Linked DNA regions of Sus scrofa. The protein of the gene in region 1 interacts with the protein of each later gene in a pairwise test. Links are inferred from orthologs where the notes say so. Each region holds a gene or a part of one and is shown on either strand. Other genes may lie near its edges.

What was found.
Region 2: the proteins of MAP1A (region 1) and RHOB interact in a two-hybrid assay, tested with the Homo sapiens proteins (2 studies listed by BioGRID and IntAct). The link is inferred for Sus scrofa from reciprocal best matches to the Homo sapiens genes MAP1A and RHOB.

What each region holds. Positions count from the first base shown.
Region 1 is NC_010443.5:127,933,951-127,938,540, reverse strand, and holds the start of MAP1A (microtubule-associated protein 1A), read left to right. Parts: upstream 1-1,588; 5' UTR 1,589-1,616; coding exon 1,617-1,854; intron 1,855-2,785; coding exon 2,786-2,887; intron 2,888-4,590. UniProt on the Homo sapiens protein: Structural protein involved in the filamentous cross-bridging between microtubules and other skeletal elements.
Region 2 is NC_010445.4:117,774,359-117,777,210, reverse strand, and holds RHOB (rho-related GTP-binding protein RhoB), read left to right. Parts: upstream 1-1,750; coding exon 1,751-2,341; downstream 2,342-2,852. UniProt on the Homo sapiens protein: Mediates apoptosis in neoplastically transformed cells after DNA damage. Not essential for development but affects cell adhesion and growth factor signaling in transformed cells. Plays a negative role in tumorigenesis as deletion causes tumor formation.

The DNA.
Region 1 (4,590 bases):
CTGCCGCTGACCAGTTATACTGAGGATCTTGCTAGTTGCTATGGAAACTGTCCCCTTCCTCTCCCTACAACCTATTCTGTCTCTGCCTCCACGTGGCACTCTTTTTTGATTGCGGAAGAGGAGGCCTGCATATCTCTCTATGCTCTTTGCCAGATTCAGACGTGCAAATGGTGGGGTGGAGGTGTAGCAGAGCATTGTCTCATGTGTCATATAGGGTGAGGCATCCTCACCATCTTATGTTCTGCCGGTACTATTTCCCCCTCTCTGCTATAAAAGGGATTTTCAGGGCCATGTCAAATTTTTTTAATTGAGATAATTGACATAGAGCATTATGTTAGTTTCTGGTAGGGCCACGTCCAAATCGCAGAATGGATTGGATGTTTTGCTAAATATATGTCCCATGATAGGAACTAGGATTGCTGCGAGGTACTTAAAATGCAGACACTATCCAATCCTCCTCAGGGCCTCCGGAGAGGAGGTGGATCAGAACACCGCTCACAGGCAGCCTTGCTCAATCAGGTACTGTGCTCCTCTTCCTTCATTATACCATTCGGAAACTGTAAGACAAATGAGACCCAAAAAAGTACTGCTGGAGCCCTAGGGTTAAAGACAGGCTCTGTCTGATACGTATACATACAGAATGACTCAGTATCCTGAGTAAAAGAAGACACTGGAGTGCAGAGTAGGTAGTGGGGACACACTGAGGAATGGGGGAGGGGTAGACTTGCAGACCGCACCACTTGTACAAGGATGTTCCAGTCAGTCATAAAACAGTGTCAGCCTCCTTAGTCTTCTTTCACATCCCCCGGCTTTTTGCATTTTGGAAGGGCCAAGCCCTCTCTTGGTTCAAACATTGTCCCTTCTGTTTTGAGAATTCACTGGGGAAGTAATACCATTGCCTTCCAAGGTTACCCAACTCACTGTGTCACATTATTTGTAGTTGGGAAGGTCTTGCTTGGGTTTACTGAAACACCCCTTGCTGCAGTCTGAGCTCACTGCACTCAGCAGAGATGGAGACCAGCCAAACACTATCTTCGGAATAACAACTCACCAGGGACTCAGGGCCGGAAGGTCATTCTGTCCCTCTGATACTGCACAGCTTCCCAGTGCACACCCAGGGCCCGAGGCTATGAGGTCAGGAAAAAAAAAAACAAACAAACCCAAATTGTGTTAACACCAACATGGAAGGACAGAAGGATGCAACATAAACTCGAGGCAGAGAGGGACAAGATGGCTCCCCTCAGTTCGGGTGAGGCTGCGGAATTGCCAGATAGTACTTTTCCGGGGAAACATCCTAACTAGAAGCTTCTGGTGCCGAGGTACTAGACTCGCCCCTCCACCCGGTCCCTCAGATAACCCACTCCTACCCAAGTCGGAGTGAGATCTCTCAGGAAAATGAGTGGGGGCGGAGTGGGACAGCCACCAACCCCCGAGCCCCTCCCCAGGCCCAGCGAAACCGCAGAGCAGAGCTCCGCGGCCCCTTCCCAGCCGCTGCGGCGCCAGTGCTCCGCCCCCTGACAGGCAGCAGCCAATGAGCGGCTCCTGCCGCCGGCCTTTAAGAACCGCGCGCACTCTCCCAGCCGCCGACGCCGGCCTTGCACTCCAAAGGAGTTTCCATGGAGACCGAGGCTGGGCCCGGGCGGCCTCGCGGCGTTGCCATGGAGACAAGTCCCGGGCTAGGGCTCCGAAGCCCCGGCTCTCCGCTGGCTCAGAACCCCGCGGAGCCGCTGTACAAGGCCGGAGCCGCCGCGGCGGCAGCACGCTGGGACCTAAGGAAACACTCTTTGCTCATTGTGATCGGCGATATCGGTTCGGAGAGTCAGCTGAGGGCCGTGCGGGCCCACCTTGAACAAGGTGAGCTGCTGTCCTGGATGCTCTCGGGACATCCTTCATCCCGTGCTTCTTTGCCATCTGCATCCTCCAACCGTAGTGTGCTTTTCTTGAGATCTGCGCGCCCTGTTATCTGAATCATCAGCCCCTGGCCTGTCACCTCCATCCTCTGTGTCACACATCTGTATTCCCCCACCCCAGCTGCCAACATCTCGCTTCCCCATCCTTCCCGCACACCCTGTGGTGTTCCACAAACTCCCTGAGGAGGGGTGGGGAGCTCTGTGTACTGCCTGGGGAGCCCTTTCTAGTTGCACCCCTCTCTCCTGCAGTGTCATGGGCCAGACGCCCTAAAAGTCCTCACCATCCCCTGGAGAGTCCAGGTCCCTACCTTAATTTCTTCTTTAGGTTTCTGAACAGGCACAGGGTGCTTTCTGAACGCCGCAGACAAATCTCAAATATCCCAGTGCCAGCGGCCAGACTGAGAGTGACCTTCGTGACCACAGGCTTCTCAGTCCTTCATTGCCTGTGGCGCAGTGCTGCGGAGCCACCTGCGGGTGGAAGCCAGCCGCGGAGGAGTGTAGGCAAGGAGGGGACCACAGAAGGAGAATTTAGAAACCTACCTAGCTGTATCCAGAAGGAAGGGGCTCTTGGGTGTCATTTCTATCTCACCTGGTCAACTCTGCAAGAAAATTCCTACATACAAACTTGTTAATGACCAAATTTAGCCTAAACTCTGCCCTTCTCCCTCTGGCTCCAGCAAAGCCCAAGAAAGGCACAGGATGGGAGACAGGCAAAGGTACTAGCCACCCTTCTCAAAGACATCAGTGAGGCTGATCATAGCAATTGCTCTTATCCCTTCCTTCTCCTTACCCCTTCTGTGAGTTTGGAAGTTCTCTCAGAAGTCTAGTCCCTCTGACCTTATCTAGGTCCCTCTTTGTTTCTTTTTCTCTCACAGGCATTCTCTCCTGGAACATTGACTTATCATCCATTGACTTGAACCAACAATTGAGACTCTTCATTACCCGGCATCTAGCTCACTTCTCCTCAGAGGTCAAAGGTTAGGATTAGTATCAATTTGTCTCTGTCCTTTGGGTGAGGGCTGGTCACAGAAGATCAGAGGTCCAGTCTTCCAGGCAGAACTGGCCTTGTGGGAGGATTGGGTGGGGAGGAAGGGAGAGACGCCTGAGGGGAAAGTTGTAAAGCTCCCATAGCTATCCCTACATACCCGCACACTGCAGACAGATGGTATGATGGTGGGGGAAGCCTAAAGAACATAATTTCTACCTCAGAAGAGGGTAGTTTTATGAACAGCTGTTGACATGCACTAAGAGAATGAGGTATCAATCATCTGTGTAAAAATTCGCTCTTTTTTGTGTGTATTCCCTTTTCTGTATACCCTGGCCTCCTTGCTTCCCTTTACAAAAGCCCTTGAACCCCAGACTCACCTTCCCAGCTTCTTGCTTAGCATTTTTTTCTCAAGCTACAGAGCCTACCCTCCAGAATTCAGGGTTTCTGGTTCCTCCTTTGGCTCAGTCAACCGATGTCCAGAGCAGAGCAGAAACATTGTACCAAAGACCGATGAGCACCATGAAATCCAGAGTGGAAGCAGGTTTTCCTGGATTTACTTCTGCAAGAGCTAGTCATACTTTGAGGTTTGGCTCTGAAATCAAAGTTCACGGTTTGCAATTTCCCATTCTGCTGGGTAGAAGAAATGGTCAGGAATTTAAGAAAACAATATTTTAGGAACTGCTATTCCATGACAGTATCTGTGGGGAAACTACAGAAAGCCGTATATCTCATTGTTAAAGTGCTGGGCATCTGATAATGTTATTGGTAAATGCTGACAAGCTAATTCGTACACCATTGTTTTTATGGAATATAAGTCTACCCAACTCAGCAGTCACTGCTGGAGTTCCCTTGTAGCTCAGCAGGTTAAAGATCCGGTGTTGTCACTGCTGTGGCTTTGGTTACAGCTGTGGCTTGGGTTCATCCCCTTGTCTGGGAACTTCCGCATGCTGTGAGCATGGCGAAAAAAGAACAAAAGTCATTGCCACCAAATGACTGAATTTATATCTTATATAGATAATTCTCAATTATCCAGTATAATAGATAATCACCTCCCCTTCTTTTCTGCTCCTCCTGCTAATTGCCACATCTTTGGTCATTTCCCTGATCACCTATTCCTCTAGAGTTGATCCTGGAGAGAGCAGACAAGGTTAACATGACTAATGCTCCATCATCTTAGGAATATATGCAGCACTTTAAAAATTTGAGGCTGACGTCTTCTTGATGTGACTGGCTTCCTGTGAAGCTAGCCAGTCACTGTTTGAGACTGCCTTCTGTTTACAATTACTCATGTCATTGCTTCCTCCATCAGCTCTAGTGATTGACAAGTGACAGTTTCATAACTTTATTAATCCTACGAGCTTTTGTACAAGGCTGGATAAGGGAATGACAGCAGATGAAATTAACAACTGGATTGAAGTTTGGAGAGTATCTGCTGATGTTATTAATTCACACTGAATTCTCTAACCTTGTTCTTTTAGACACAGATGTAAGAGTAGATGCTTTCTGGAATGACATAGGAATGATCATAACTTAAAACAAAATAATTAGCCATTCTTCAGAATAAGATGTGGGAATACTTGGGAAAATGCTTACAGGGAGATGTATAGTTACTGTCAGGGACCTCTCAGAAACGAGTACCAATATGTAAACAGCTACTAGGTCCTTTCAATCAAAGAGTTTTACTATGGTGTC
Region 2 (2,852 bases), on another chromosome or scaffold:
TTGCTGAAAAACCAACAAGCATCCCCTTGCCTCTAGAATGGATATGGCCCAACCTGTGTAGTTGGTACTTGTCCTCCATGATTGGCCTGCCTCCTGAGTTTCAACTCTCTCTTTCCACTGAGGGTAGCCCCAGTAAGCTATTCTCTGTTCCTAGAATCTGTCCTACTCTTTGTCACATCTCTGCTTTGGTTCAAGCTCTTCCTCCTCCTTGGGTGGTCCTCCCTCCCTACCTCCATCCTTCTTCTCACCCCTTCTGTCCATTGGGACCCATCCACTCAGAAGCTTCTAGATCAGACACAGGTGCCATCTCCTACAGGATACAAGGAAGAGATGGATTAAGTCCTGGTGGATAGCAGGAGACTAGGAGCTAGCACCCCACTAGACACTGATTTGCTATGTCCCAGCCTTCAAGTTTCTCCTGCTACTCCCCAGGGGGACCTCAGCCTCTTCTAGCCCAGTGGGGTGGGGGTGGGGATTTGGATTTTATTGTACTGTTTACCTCAGGCAGTTCTCTGCCTTATGACCAGGATCCGAATTAATCTTGAAATCCAGGGCTGAGGCTGCCTTTTTCTGCTTGGTAACTTCTTCCCAGCGGACCTCAAGTTCTGCAACCAACCTCGACCTTCCCTTTTCACCGTCCCTCCTTCTCCGAATCTTTACCTAAAGACCTAGGCTGGGTGCCGAGAAGGGGGTAGGCGATAGGACTTGGAGGAGCCAGAAGCTCGGCCCAGGGTCACCTAATTTACAGCCACCATCTCTAAGATCCAAACCCCGGGCTGCTCTAGGCGGGTACCCTGGTGGAAGGACAGGGATGGCAGACTCGACCAGGGGTGGGCCCGCTTCTGAAAGAAAAGGGAAAAGACCTTGCTTGGGAACAAACGAATGTGTGTGTGCGCGCGCGTTCACTTAAAAACAAAACCAAGTTAAAGGAACCGCTCGGTCCCCCACAGGTCCGACCACCCGCTGGGAGTTTGCGAAGCCAGCGCGGCAATTTTGAGTGGGAGGGAGTCGTTAACGCCCCACAAAGTGCGGCTTCTTTCTGAACCTCTCGTCCAGGCCCTGCGGGCTCCTGGTAGCTAGCTCTTGGCCTCCCGCCCCACGCGCAGAAGCTGCGGCGAAGGAGGGAACCCTGGTGTCGCCGGAGCCCCGCAGCGCCAGCCGCGGCGCACGCTCCCCGGTCGCCGCCTCTCCCAGCCCCGCGGCCTGGGCCGTCAATCAAGCTCGCCCGGCCCCGCCCCTGGGCTGCAGCGGACGGCCAATCAGAGCCAAGCTCCGCAGCGATGAGCTCAGTCGGCTCGCTTGCCATTGGGCGGCTATATTAAGAAAGTCGCCGAACTCTTTAAATAGCGGGCGCTAGGGCCGCAGCCTGCATCTGCCACCGCAGTCTGCCTGCTTTCGTTCGTTTTCCTGTACCTTTGCTGAGGCCTAGAGCGACCCGGGAGGAAGCTAGGCCGGGTCTGCTACTCTAGTCACCGTTTGCGCACAAAGGCGCCAACCCCGGATCCGGGGCGAGGAGGGCCGCCACCGCTCCGGAGCAGCGCGGAGACGTACGGTGCGCCCTATGCTCCCGCGCCCCTACCGCCCACGCCGCGGCTTCCTGAGCACAGCGAGAGAACGCGCCACCCCGGGGCCTGGGTGCAGCTAGCGACCCTTGCCCCTAGCGCGCAGCCCGAGGTGAGCAGTGAGCGGCCAGCGGGACGGCAGCGAGGCGTTCGCGGGCCCCCTCTTGCTGCCCGGGCCCGGCCCGCTCATGGCGGCCATCCGCAAGAAGCTGGTGGTGGTGGGCGACGGCGCGTGCGGCAAGACGTGCCTGCTGATCGTGTTCAGTAAGGACGAGTTCCCTGAGGTGTACGTGCCCACAGTCTTTGAGAACTATGTGGCCGACATCGAAGTGGACGGCAAGCAGGTGGAGCTGGCGCTGTGGGACACAGCGGGCCAGGAGGACTACGATCGCCTGCGGCCGCTCTCCTACCCGGACACCGACGTGATCCTTATGTGCTTCTCGGTGGACAGCCCGGATTCCCTGGAGAACATCCCCGAGAAGTGGGTGCCCGAGGTGAAGCACTTCTGCCCCAACGTGCCCATCATCCTGGTGGCCAACAAGAAAGACCTGCGCAGCGACGAGCACGTCCGCACTGAGCTGGCCCGCATGAAGCAGGAACCCGTGCGCACGGATGACGGCCGCGCCATGGCCGTGCGCATCCAAGCCTACGACTACCTCGAGTGCTCTGCCAAGACCAAGGAGGGCGTGCGCGAGGTCTTCGAGACGGCCACGCGAGCCGCGCTGCAGAAACGCTACGGCTCCCAGAACGGCTGCATCAACTGCTGCAAGGTGCTATGAGGGCCGCGCCCGCCTGCCTGCCCCTGCGGGCACGGCTCCCCCACCCCGGCCGGTCCCCCACGAGGCCGGAGAAGGGAGACCCGCGCCCCCCCCACGGACCCCACCGGACGGCCTGGCGTCTGCCCTCCGGACCCGCAGCCGTGGCCTGGCGGCTGTGGCTCTGGCGCCGGGAATCGGCGCGGTAGGCACCGGGCGCCCCCTTTCCAAGTGTCTGTGTGCGTCCCGCTGTGTTGCACAGGCCTGGGCGCCCCGCTGAGTGCCAAGGGATCCCCGAAGACCCTGTTCTGAAGAGCCAAGCCTCTTCGGAGGGTGTGGCTGTGTGTATGTTCAACTCCCCCCGCCCCGTTTTTGCCCCACGCCCGCCTCTGCTACCCCGAGGCGAGCTTGGCCCCGGGGTGCGGCCGCGCCCCATCATCAGATGTTCTCCCATAACCAGCGAGCGCCTGCTATGCCCCTGTCTGTAACATAGACCACGGGAACTGCGGGAGGGGAGGGCTGGGGTGGATGGGGT